Linked DNA regions of Ovis aries. The protein of the gene in region 3 purifies or fractionates together with the protein of the main gene of each other region. This does not show direct contact. Links are inferred from orthologs where the notes say so. Each region holds a gene or a part of one and is shown on either strand. Other genes may lie near its edges.

Evidence for each region.
Region 1: the proteins of LYN (region 3) and PLCG2 purify together in Homo sapiens (affinity purification with western blotting; 3 studies listed by BioGRID, with this or other methods). This does not show direct contact. The link is inferred for Ovis aries from reciprocal best matches to the Homo sapiens genes LYN and PLCG2.
Region 2: the proteins of LYN (region 3) and ANKRD54 purify together in Homo sapiens (affinity purification with mass spectrometry; 3 studies listed by BioGRID and IntAct, with this or other methods). This does not show direct contact. The link is inferred for Ovis aries from reciprocal best matches to the Homo sapiens genes LYN and ANKRD54.

Annotation. Positions count from the first base shown.
Region 1 is NC_056067.1:7,912,753-7,916,396, reverse strand, and holds part of PLCG2 (1-phosphatidylinositol 4,5-bisphosphate phosphodiesterase gamma-2), read right to left. Parts: intron 3,102-3,644; coding exon 2,982-3,101; intron 1,860-2,981; coding exon 1,679-1,859; intron 137-1,678; coding exon 65-136; intron 1-64. UniProt on the Homo sapiens protein: The production of the second messenger molecules diacylglycerol (DAG) and inositol 1,4,5-trisphosphate (IP3) is mediated by activated phosphatidylinositol-specific phospholipase C enzymes. It is a crucial enzyme in transmembrane signaling.
Region 2 is NC_056056.1:215,480,178-215,484,334, forward strand, and holds the start of ANKRD54 (ankyrin repeat domain-containing protein 54), read right to left. Parts: upstream 2,917-4,157; 5' UTR 2,818-2,916; coding exon 2,493-2,817; intron 648-2,492; coding exon 600-647; intron 1-599. UniProt on the Homo sapiens protein: Plays an important role in regulating intracellular signaling events associated with erythroid terminal differentiation.
Region 3 is NC_056062.1:36,185,988-36,190,102, reverse strand, and holds the start of LYN (tyrosine-protein kinase Lyn), read right to left. Parts: upstream 2,817-4,115; coding exon 2,748-2,816; coding exon of another isoform or gene 2,685-2,747; intron 1-2,684. UniProt on the Homo sapiens protein: Non-receptor tyrosine-protein kinase that transmits signals from cell surface receptors and plays an important role in the regulation of innate and adaptive immune responses, hematopoiesis, responses to growth factors and cytokines, integrin signaling, but also responses to DNA damage and genotoxic agents.

The DNA.
Region 1 (3,644 bases), on a different chromosome or scaffold from region 3:
CCTGGGACTATCCATGTCAGTCTAGTGACGAGGTAATAGTGTGAATCAGAAGTCTGCACTGTACCATTGAAGGATTGATTTCACTGGGATCCACATACATCCTGCTGACATCATAGAGGGAGTTTATATCTCTTTCCTGTAAAAGAAGAGAGAAAAATAAATAGAGTCATTCAAGCTCCCGGGACAGCCCTAACTTGGAACAAGGATTCTACGCATCCTCATGGTCTCCTGCCTTCTAGTAGAAGAGCTGAAACCTCAGTTTATTCACCTTGTAGGCAGAGCCAGTAAGAAGCTATTAAGAAATTCCCCAAAACTTGGAAATCTTACCCCAGGATCAGAGAGGCCCCAACACGGGCCTACCGCATGCCAGGCACCATCCTCCTTTGTCCAAACACGAGCCCTGCAAGGCACTGGTGTCCTGGGGCGAGCTCACCACTCTCCTGACCCACGCTCAATGTCGGCAGCTTGAAACGCCACCGCGGGAGTGCTCAAGGCACAGAAACTGGCAAACGCCACAGAGCGGGGCTTCTCTCCGCAGAGCGGGTAGACCTTCACCAGCGCACACTGGAGACCCCTCCTGCCCCTCCCCGGCCCCCCACTGGGCTGCACCCCCACCCCACATTGTGGTCCTGCGCCCGCCTGCCCCCTACCTGGAACCCACCACAGCTCCCCAGCCGCTCCGCCCCCCGGCTGCCTTCCCACCCTCTGCAGGAGACCCGCTCCCAGCTCCCGGCCCCAGTCTAACACAGTGCCCACCCCACAGCGCCCCATCCTGTTCTCGTCTTCACTGTAACTCGCCCTGCCCGGGGCACCTTTCTAGAACCTGAATGTGCCAAGGGCTAACGGTGCTCCGCCAAGCTCTCCCAGCATCTACACTCGGCTCCTGATAGTGCAGTCAGCCTCCTTCCAACAACGTACTGAATCTGGCTGAGAGGAGCTGGGACACGATAATCAGACTGGCCCCCTTCACCGCTCAGAGTCCCCCAGTGGGGACTTCCCTGGTGGTCCAGATACCACTTCCACCACAGGGGCTGCAGGTCTGATCCCTGGTCAGGGAACTAAGATCCTTCATGCTGCATGGCATGGCCCCCCAAAAAAAGACAAACCCTCCAATGGCTCAGAATAAAAGCCGCTGTGTGTGGCCCCACTCCATGCAGCTCCATCCTTATTTAGGTCTGCCCCAACCCTGGACCACTTAGGTCCAGCCATACCAGCTTCTCCTCTTTGCCTCCTTGCATGCTCTCACCTCAGGACCTTTGCACTGACTGTTCTTTCTTCCTCCTCACAGCTGCAAGCTGTCTCCTCCACTTCTGGAGTGTCTGCCCACGTCTCCTAGTCAGCAAGCCCCTCCCGAGCACCCCTGAGAACTGCAGCCCCTTCCCCATCATCTACCCACTTATCCACCTGCCTCAGCATGTCTGTAACACTGGCTCAGTGTCTGTCTTATCATCCTATCAGCTGACACGTGCTCTGACAGTTCTTCATTTCGTGTGTCGTCTGTCTCACCCACACTGGACTGTAAGAGCACAGGGGCAGAGTCTGAGTCCACTCTGCAGTTTTGGACCCAGAGCCGTGTGGGACACACGTACGTGCTCAATAAAGGTTTGCTGAATGAACCAACAGGTGAATCGTAACCTCAGACAGTGTCCGCCGCATCCCGGGCGGGTCAGCCACCCACCATGTTGTAGCGCTCCAGGAGCTCGGGGGTCACGGGGTAGCGCAGCTTCATCTTCCGGTAGAGCGCGTGTTTCTCGTAGTAGCTGACCAGCTCCACGAGGCTCTCAAAGTAGGCGGAGGTGCCCAGCACGAAGTGCCGGCCGTCTCGGTTGATACGACAGTGCTTCACCTTGCCCCTGGCCCTGGGGGGAGAGTACACGGGGCTGACGTCCCACAGCCGGGTGACAGCCACACCAGCCCAGGAACCACAGACAGCCCGGTCCCCCGTCCTAGGGCACCAGACAGACAGACGTGGCGGGACTTCCCTGGCACCCATTGGCAAGCTCCACACTTCCAACGCAAGGCGCACAGGTTTGATCCCTGGTCAGGCAACCAAGATCCCACATGCCATGCAGTGAGGTCAAAAGAGTATTGGAAGGGACTTCCCTGGCGGCTCAGCAGCTAAGACTCTGCACCCCCAATGCAGACACCCTGAGCTCAATTCCTGGTCAGGGAACTAGATCCCACATACTGCAACTAAGACTTGGCAAAGCTAAATAAATGAATAAATATTTTTAAAGTATTTGAAAAAATATTAATTGAAAAATAAATAAATGAAAATAAATAGGTGAGGCCCTGAAGGCAGCCCAGTGTCCGGAACATCACCTGGGAACCCGGTCTTTGGCACCCAGTACTCCACTACCATCACCAAGAACACGCAGGGGAGCCCTGCAGATGGGGACATGGAGGGGCAGTTTGATGAATGGGGTCTGACCCTCCCTCATACTGCTTTCGGTGGAAACTGGAGGACTCAGGTGTCTTGGGGTAGAATTAACACAGAGAGCCACAGCCCTGAGATGGCTGGTCCACATGGCCTGCCCACTGGCAGTCAGTGGCAACGGCGGATGGGAGGAGACCGGAACTGCATCACCCATCTGGGTTGCCAGCACTGCTGGGGTGCAAACTCCACCTCCACCACTAATGGGCTACATGTTTTCAGCAGGTCGTTCCATCACCCTGGCCTCAGTTTCCTCCTCCAAAAAGCAGGGGTATGGGTCACGCTCACCCCAGAGTTTTGGGAGGATTAAATGAATTCATGTAAACCACATTACTCTCGGGAGTACAGAGCAGTGCCTGGCATGCTGAAAGCACACGTCAGCATCTGCTTTTGCTATCATTGTTACTATTACTGTCCCCATCACAGCTGACACTCTGGACAGAGGACACTGGGCTCAGCACCCACCTGCAGTTCCTGCTTTCTTCTCCCACCTGCCCTGCCCAGGCGCCTCCGCAGAGTGAGAAGTGGCTGCAGCTCAGATACTTACCTGAAGGTGATGGCGTAGGAGTCAGTACCTTCCCGCTTCCGGATCAGGAAGGCCCCGTCCCGGGGGACCCTCATCAGCATGTCCTCCGCTTCTCCGCGGCTCAGCCCATCGTAGTACCACCTGCAGCACAGGCCCAGGGCAATGGTCAGGGGAGAGGCCGCTAAGACTGGCAGCAGAGGAGGACGTGGTGGGTCCCTGGGAGGCCTGAAATACAACCCTGGAGCCCACCACGGAAATCACGCAGCAGGCCTCCCCACCCAAAATCCCCTCTAGAGACGGCAACTTTGAAAACAATCACCCAGACACAGCTCGGGTGAAGCATTTGTGTAGGGAGTCTGCTTGGAGCACGAGAGAATAAATCAACTTAAATCTTCAACCCCCTCCCAGACCACTGACCCAAGCATCAGAGCGTGACACAGCCCTGCAGTGTCTCAGAAAACCAGAGGCAGAAAACACACAGAACGGGGTTTTAGAGGGGTTGGGAGTTAATTTTAAAGATGCAAAATGGCAAATTTTAAGGCCATCCACTTGAATACAGACAAGAAAAGTAAAAATCAAAGTTGTCACAGCTATATGGCTTCCTCAGAAAGGTGCACTTGAGCAGGCTTCTGCTTAAAAATTACTCTTTTCTTTCCAGAACTAGTTAACCCTTTGCAAGGCCTA
Region 2 (4,157 bases), on a different chromosome or scaffold from region 3:
GATTCACAGAACGAATTAAGTCAGTGGATAAAATTAAATCTTTTTTTTTTCCTATAACTTGTCTTGTACCTTTGATGCTGCTACTGCCCTGTCAGCTAGTAAAGGATGAAGAGCAACAACAACAACAAAAAAACAGAGCCGTGTCCTGCTAGGAGCCCCACCCCTGCCTTTCAGATGTTCTGTCAACTGAAGTTTGAGAACCACGAACCCCACTACCACCAAGCCTCAGGGGAGCAGCTGAAGGGTTCTATGCAGATGGTGGCTCTCCTGCGGTTCAAGTTGACGACTCATTCCTTTTAGCCAGAAGTTCCCAAAAACTCCTACTCTGCAGCTGGGTGCCAGGGATACAAAAGCTCCCGCCGTGAGGGGGCTCACAGGGTAATAAACACTCTGACATCAGGAAGGAGTGGCAGGCAAGCATGGGAAGAGTAAGCATCTGAACGAGACTTGTCATCTGTAAGGTGACAGCAGTTATACAATAGATACAGTGGTCCCAGGGCTGAGCTGGCAGAATTCAGGCGCTGTCTTCCCAGGTACTGGTTACATGGACTTTTCCTTCCCTAACCAGACCATGGAGCGGACTCACTCTGCACACTCACCTGTTTCCACATCGTTGGCATTGGCTGAGTCCCTCAGCCTTTTCAGAGCTGTGAAGACAATAAGAGTGCCAGTTAAAAAAACAAACAAAAAAAAAACCCCAGCAACGGCCATGATGAAGCAGAAAGTAATGGCTTCCTGGGAACTTCTTGGCAGTCTAGTGGTTAAGGACCCATGCACTTCCACTGCTGGGGTCACGAGTTTGATCCCTGGTTGGGGAACTAAGATCCCGCGTGTCGCACAGCACTGCCAAATGGAAAAAAAAAAAAAAAAAAAGCATCTAAAAGGAAAGAGAGGTGCCAGGATACAACCAGGAGAAACCTGAAATGTGGCACAGCTCATGCAAAAGTCACATTTTGTAGCAAATCCTCCAAGGCCTTTGCAGCCAGATCTTGGCTCTGCCACTTGGTGACCTTGAACAAGTTAGTTAAGCCCCTGGGCTTCAGATCTATCAAGAACAAACAAGGTTGAGCTCTGTCCTGACAGTCCTGAGTTGTTGCAAAAATCAAATGAGATGATTTACAAAGCTCTTTGTGAGCTGATTACACATATAATCTTATATTCTCCTTCAAAACAGGCCTCTCCTAAATGGCATATTTAAATCTGATAATTCCCACACAGAAACTTTTTTCTCCACAATGACACTACCTCTATATTAGAGGGTAATAGAAAGCAATACTTTTATCATCAGAGAAATGGACAAAAATTACAACTCAGATATATAATGATTCCTTACATTCATATAGCACTTTCAAATTCTCAATCCTCATAACACCACTAAGATGAGTAGGTCCTAGAGGGAATCTAAAAGTCTCCATTCTTAAGTCTTTCAGGGTGTTGGTTTCCACGGCATCCATAAAATGTAAAAGACAATATGGAAGAAGTATCAGAGCAGGAGTTCTAATACCAGCACAACCAATTTCTACTGATGTGACTTAGAGCAAGACAATTTCTCCAAGCCTCAGTTTCATCTTCAGTAAAGTGGGAACGGGTATCTGGATCTTGATGAGTTATTATGAGGATCAAAAACCGTCACAGGGCTTCCCTGGTGGTCTAATGGTTAAGAATCTGCCTGCCAATACAGGGGACACGGGTTTGATCCCTGGTCCAGGAAGATCCCACATGCCTCTGAGCAACTAAGCTCATGCGCCACAACTATTGAACCTAAGTTCTAGAGCCCAGAAGCTGCAGTTACTGAAGCCTGTGTACCTAGAGCCCGTGCTCTGCAACAAGGGAAGCCACGGCGATGAGAAGCCTGGGAACCGGCAGCAAGGAACAGCCCCCACTCACCGTAACTAGAGAAAGCCTGCGCTCAGCAAAGACGGCCCAGCAGAGCCAAAAATAAATAAATAAATCTTAAAAAGAAAAGAAAATGACCACATTGTCACCCAACAGTGTCTGGCACACGTTGAAGGCCAAATATTGACTATACATTCCCTACTTTACCTAACTCTTGTCAACATTCCTGTAAAGCATACCATTCCCATTTTACAGATAAGAAAACTGCAACTGAAAGGATCTGTAGTTTGCCTAAGGCCACCATGAGCTAGAAAAGTCCAACCCAGGTCTGTCCATTTAAAGAAGCTGGTACGACTTGGCTCTGATACGAAAATATTCTCCACTACCCCATGTATTATCTACACCTGGGGCGAGGAATCCGTTTCTACTCAGCAACTACCCAATGTGAAAAGCCTCCGGGACTGTTTCTGAGCAGGAAGACTATTTTTTTCTTTTTTTTACACTCATGATTCTTAGCAGTCATACGACTACTATTCCTACTGGAAGGAGACTCAGGGGTCACTCCAGGTCCGTAGCGCAGATGTCGGAGGACTCCATCCTGAGCCGGCTGGGGAGATCAGCCGAGGGCCAGCCCCGCCTCCCGCCGCGCTCCTCACCGTGCACCTCCTTGCCAGTGGGCCCGAGCCGGCGGTGGGGCCTGGCGGCGCGCCTCAGCCTGCTCGCGGGGATTTTACAGCGCAGCTCATCGCGGGGCTCCGTGTCCTGCTGCCACAGGACGTGCAGGTAGCGCAGCGGGGACTGGGCCCCGCCGGACGCCCGGCCCGGGAGGCCCGCGCCGCCGCCCAGCGCAGACCCAAAGTCGGCGAAGGAGAAGAGGCCCTCGGGACCCGTCAGCGGCTCGGGCGCCACCGCGCACTCGCCGTCGGAGCTCGAGCGGCCCGAGCGCGACTCGTCGTCCGCGCCTCCGGCGGCGGCTGCCATGGCAACGGCTCCGCGCGGGCCTGGCCGCCGGCGGAGCCTCGTGCCTGGCGGACCAACGGACCCGCTTCCCTCCGCCCTAAAGGCTCGCTGTCAGCGGACGAGCTGGCGGGCCGGGCCTGCAACCACGGCAACCGGGTGGGGGGGCGGGCTCGGGGAGCGGGCGAGCGAGCGGGGCAGTTCCGGACCAATGAAAACCCTACCAGCCGCAATAGACTTGGTTTCCGGCAGTGTGACTGATGGGTATAAGAACCAATCACAAATTTGAGCTGCCCAATCCCCTCGCCGTACGTCCTTACCGGAGCCAATAAAATAGCTGAGTTTAAGACTTTTTTTTTTCTTATTTCTCCCGTCGGAGCAAAGAAAAGATAACGGGCAGATGCCCTAGCCAATCACGTTAAGATGATTTGCAGCCAATCACAAAGAAAAGTGAAGAAGCCGGAGAAAAGGAGAGGAAGAAAATGTTTAAATCAATGAACGTAAAAAAAACAAAGAACTTCCTACAAATACACAGTGTTAAGTAGGAAACGAGAATACGTTAAAATGTGGGGCTAGCAACACGAACCGTGTAGTAATAGCTTTTAAAGGCGACAAATTCCGTTCGTTCTCTCCGTAACCCTGGCGTTGATCACTAATTTACAAAGAAACGAATTCTGTAATTCAAGGACTTTCCTGCGGCTCAGACGTTAAAGAATATGCCTGCTATATAGGAGACCCGGGTTCGATCCCTGGATCGGGAAGATCCCCTGGAGAAGGAAATGGCAACCTACTCCAATATTCTTGCTTGGAAAACCCCATGGACAGATGAGTCTGGCGGGTTCCAGTCCATAGGGTCGCGAAGAGTCAGACACGACTGAGCGACTAACACTGTAACTCAACATCATTACACGAGAGTGATCAACATTTGAGTCCGAGAGGCAATCACTGAGCCAGCAAATTCTCTGTGCTAAGTCCCGGACACAGAATCAGACTGAGTACGCTCTGAGAGGCTCACGTCGGATGGGAGAAGTCAGAGCCGGAAACAAGGAAGTGTTCCGCAAACCGCTAACGGTGAGCTTAGCGACCTCTCCCAGGTACGAGGGGCTGAAACCAGAGAGATAACGGACTTGTTCACGGATGCCCAGCTCTCTTGAGAGGAAGACTGTCCCGGCAAAAGTTGTTCCTTGTTATTCAGCGCAGTGAAAATGTAATCTTTTTCTGACAGTTGAAAAGCACTTTCAGATTTTGCAGTGTTCTCAGAACACCACTGTAAAGTTTATCATTGTAACATATGGAGAAAAATGTTTCTTCTTCTTCTTCTTCTCCTCTGCCCATGAAGGAGAAGGGCATATGTCAACTTCATT
Region 3 (4,115 bases):
ACCAAAACAGCTTGTACTGAAATTTAAATTTCTGATGGAAGTCAGCCCATCAAATCTCCAGGGGCGGGGAGCAGGGGATTACGTTTTTCTGGTTCAGAAACTCTTGGCTCCGGATGATCTTTCAATACTTATTTCAAGGAGTTCTATACTGATTTTTAAACTCATTCAGATTTGCATAATTAGAATGTATGATCAATTTTAAAGGAGTTAGAGGAAACAATTAGAAGATGAGAGACTGATTAAATCATTTTGAGAGCAGCAAGCTGATTTTCAAATGTCAAAGAGTCCTTAATTGACAAATGATTGAACACATTCTTCAGAAGGCCAAAACACATGTATAGACCTCATCTGTCACCACTTTCCTTCTCTAAAATGTCTTTTCCTTAGAGTGTTATTGAATTTGTGTCAGTTCAGCCTTGCTGTCACACAATACAGCCTGTAATCAATCCAGGGGTGTGTTTCGGGCACATCTGGCTGGAACTGAATGTTATCCATGGAATAAGGCCCAACTGCCCAGTTACAAACCAGGGCACCTGTGACCAGAGAAGGTGGAGTGTGCTGCGCTCCGGGGGTGCATGAGGGAACTGAGAGATTTCAAACATGCTTCCTACTTCTGCTTTCGAACTTATCTTTTAACCTCCTTTACTCTTGGCAAGAGGAAAAATGGTGTGTAAGTTTGTACTGGTCTCCTTTGCTTTTCTGAATGAAGGACATCTTCTTTCATTACATTAACAAAAAATGGGGGATTGTAAACCATGTAAAATCTACAGCACATGACACTAGAAAAAGTCAGGTCCTTTTTATGACACCTTTGAAGTCTATAACGAGAAAATTATCTGTGACTCCAAGTCCTTGTATCATTTCATTTTCTGTTAGTCATATTTCCATAGCATAGCTCCACATCTATACCTATTTATGTGATGTCTTTTTGAATATTATGTTTATAGGTATTTATAACTAAATTATAAAACTTATTAATAATCTTGTACATTTTGAGTTTCTGTTATAAAATTACAACATTTAAAAAATCTTTTTCTTTATTTTTGGCTGTGCTGGGTCTTCATTGCTGTGCATGGGCTTTCTCTAGTTACGGGGTTACTCTCTAGCTGCAGTATACAGGCTTCTCAGTGCAGCGGCTTCTCTTGAGCACGGGTTCTAGGCCCACAGGCTTAACTGCCCTTTGGCATGGGGGTCCTTCTGGACAGGGTATCAAATCCATGTTCCCTGCATTGGCAGGAGGACTCTTAACCAGTGACCACCAGGGAAGTCCACAATGTTTTTCTTAAATTTCTTTTTTGGTTGTGCACCACAGCCTATGGGATCTTAGTTCCCCAGCCAGGGATCAAACCCTTGCCCCCTGCATTGGAAGCACAGAGTCTTAAAAACTGGACTGCCAGGGAAGTTCCTAAATTAATGTTAATTTATCTGTCTAGAAATATGTAGGGAATTAACAGCATAATGTCCTCACTTTTCATCTCTACTTTTTTGCAAGAATGCCAACACCGACTTACCAATCTCAACAATGACATGTGACCTTGACACACACCATACCTGCAGGATAAGGGCGAACGTGGGGGAGGGGGCTGGTACAGGGAGTGACAACAATGGTATACTTCGAGAATGCCAAGGCATTTAAAAACATGTCAGATTAGAGAAACAATGAAAACTCTTAATGAAGGCATTTGGACTCATGTGGAATAAGCTGCTTTCAGCTTAAACGCTGAAACACTGGTTTCCATAAAAACCAGGCAATGGGGGATGTACATATATACAGTGAGCAAACAGAAAGGACCTAAGATCTGAAGTAAAGTGCATTTAAGGTTGTAATTATCCAAAGCTCTGTTCCTTTCTTCCATGAAATGTGGTATTAGTTCTTTGCCAAGCATTTCTCAAACACATCAGAGAGCACATCCATCATGTAAAAATGCTGGTACAGATATTTGTCCTACGTTAGAAGGCTTAAATCTTTTAATTCTCTATAATAAGTCATGACAACTTCAGTGTTCATACTAGTTTGAATTAATTGAAGAACAACATGATGGGATAAAGTATGATGGCTACCCTGGTGGCTTAGCGGTAAAAAATATGCCTGCCAACGTGGGAGACACAGGTTTGATCCCTGGGTCAGGAAGATCCTCTGAAGAAGGAAATGGCAACCCACTCCGGTATTTTTGCCTGGGAAATCTCATGGACAGAGGAGCCTGGTGGGCTATGGTCCATGGGGTCTAGAAGAGCTGGACGTGACTGGGTGACTAAACGACACCAACATCTACCAAAGGGCATATTAGCACCTATTTTGGCTTCCGACTAGAATTCAGCATTTCCTTCTGCTTCCAGACCACTAATCTTATTGCCCATCCTAAGTCACACAAGCTCGTATACGTGTCTTTACATATAAAGAGAGGGTATTTGTACCAGTGACAGGAAAGGTGATAATCGCCACACATAAGAAGGTGACCAAAGGCCCCTTTATTGTACATTAAGTGACCTGGTTGTCTCGAATATATTTATAAACTCTTTAAAGGATTAAGTTACAAAGTATATCAAAAATTATTTGAGGCCCAAGTAATTAACATGATTTTTTTTTTTTTTTTGGCATGCACATGGTACAGATTTGGAGTTTAAATTACGCAGCCATGTTTTGATCCTGCCGTGGGAACGCTCCCCTGAGACTATCTACTTACTGGCCTTTGGTGTTTATTGGACGTTGGATCTCTCACATAAATAGTTCGGTCAGTATTACGTACTGGTTGCGTCTTCAAATCTACTCCATCGTCATTCAGATTGTCTTTCCTTTTTGACTTTATACATCCCATAGTTCCTGTTGGAATACAAAAGCAACGGCATCGTTTTACCATTCCAGAACTGGCTTCCAGCCACCGAAGCTTCTCCATTAATAGAGAGAAGGTAACAGCGACTCAACAACAGCAAGCACACTTCTAGTCTTCATCGCTGATGATTTAACCAAGTCAAAGAGGTGAAGACCGTTCACAAGCCAGGTGCTTGTTCATAATCTGTTCACTCATTCATTCAACAACCATTTATTGAGCATCGATTTTACGTCAGCATGAATTCCTGCCCTACAGACGCTCCTGTTCTTGTGGTGAAGATGTGTGAATTAAAACAACAATGTGACGTGGCAGGTCAACGACAGAGGATGCACAGGACACAGGAAAGGACACTGACCTCAGGCAAGAGGAAAAGGATGTGGGCAGGGGAAGTGTCCTGATGGAAACGCTTCGAGTCAGAATGGGAGTGATGTCAGCTACGTGGCAGAGTCAGTAAAGGGATTCCAGGAAGAGACAACTTCACATGCAAAGTATGGGCCCCGGGAACACGGCCCCTTCAGGGAACTAGTTCAAGTCAAACCCTTCAGGGAACAAGTAGGGAAGTCCAAGAGTTGGGCTGGAGGGGGAGGCATGGCTGAAGACAAGTGTCACTGTGCAAGGTGAAGTGAGGGGACCTGGGGCTTCAAAGGCAAACATGAGGAAGAGCCAGGAAGCATAAAGGGTGGCTCCAACCTTATGTGGTTTGGGGCCTGGGACAATGGTGGTGGCCTTCACGGAGACTGGAAATCAAAGAGGAGACACAGGTACGGAGAATAGATGCTTGTAGGAACACCCACACGATCACATCTGTAGACGTCCCAGTGAGACGTGTGAGTGTGGAAAACAGGAGAGATGTCAGAGCCAGAGGCACAGAGGGTGCCGCCAGCCAGCTTAAGGCTTCAGGAGAGACACCTCGACAGAAGGGGGCTTGAGCACAACCAGTGAGACAGACGGAACCACCCTTCTAAAGGCTAAACTCTTTTCTGTCTATTCAGTTATACTAGGATGTGCAGAGTGCCACCCAAAGCAAACTGGGAACTTAGATCTAAAGGCGACTTTAAAACTGAAATTGGATATGACTATTCCTCACAGCACAGCCTCATGGTCAAATTTATACATTAAATACAAAACAAAATCTGTATGCACTCCACTACAAGGTTCGGGAGGGTGGTGTTCCCGAACCTAAAGGCACACAAGAATCGCCTAGGTTCACAGAGCAGATTCCCTGGACACAGTCCAGGAAGTTCTCCAGGGGCACAGTGGGGTGGGCACTCCAATGTGACTGTC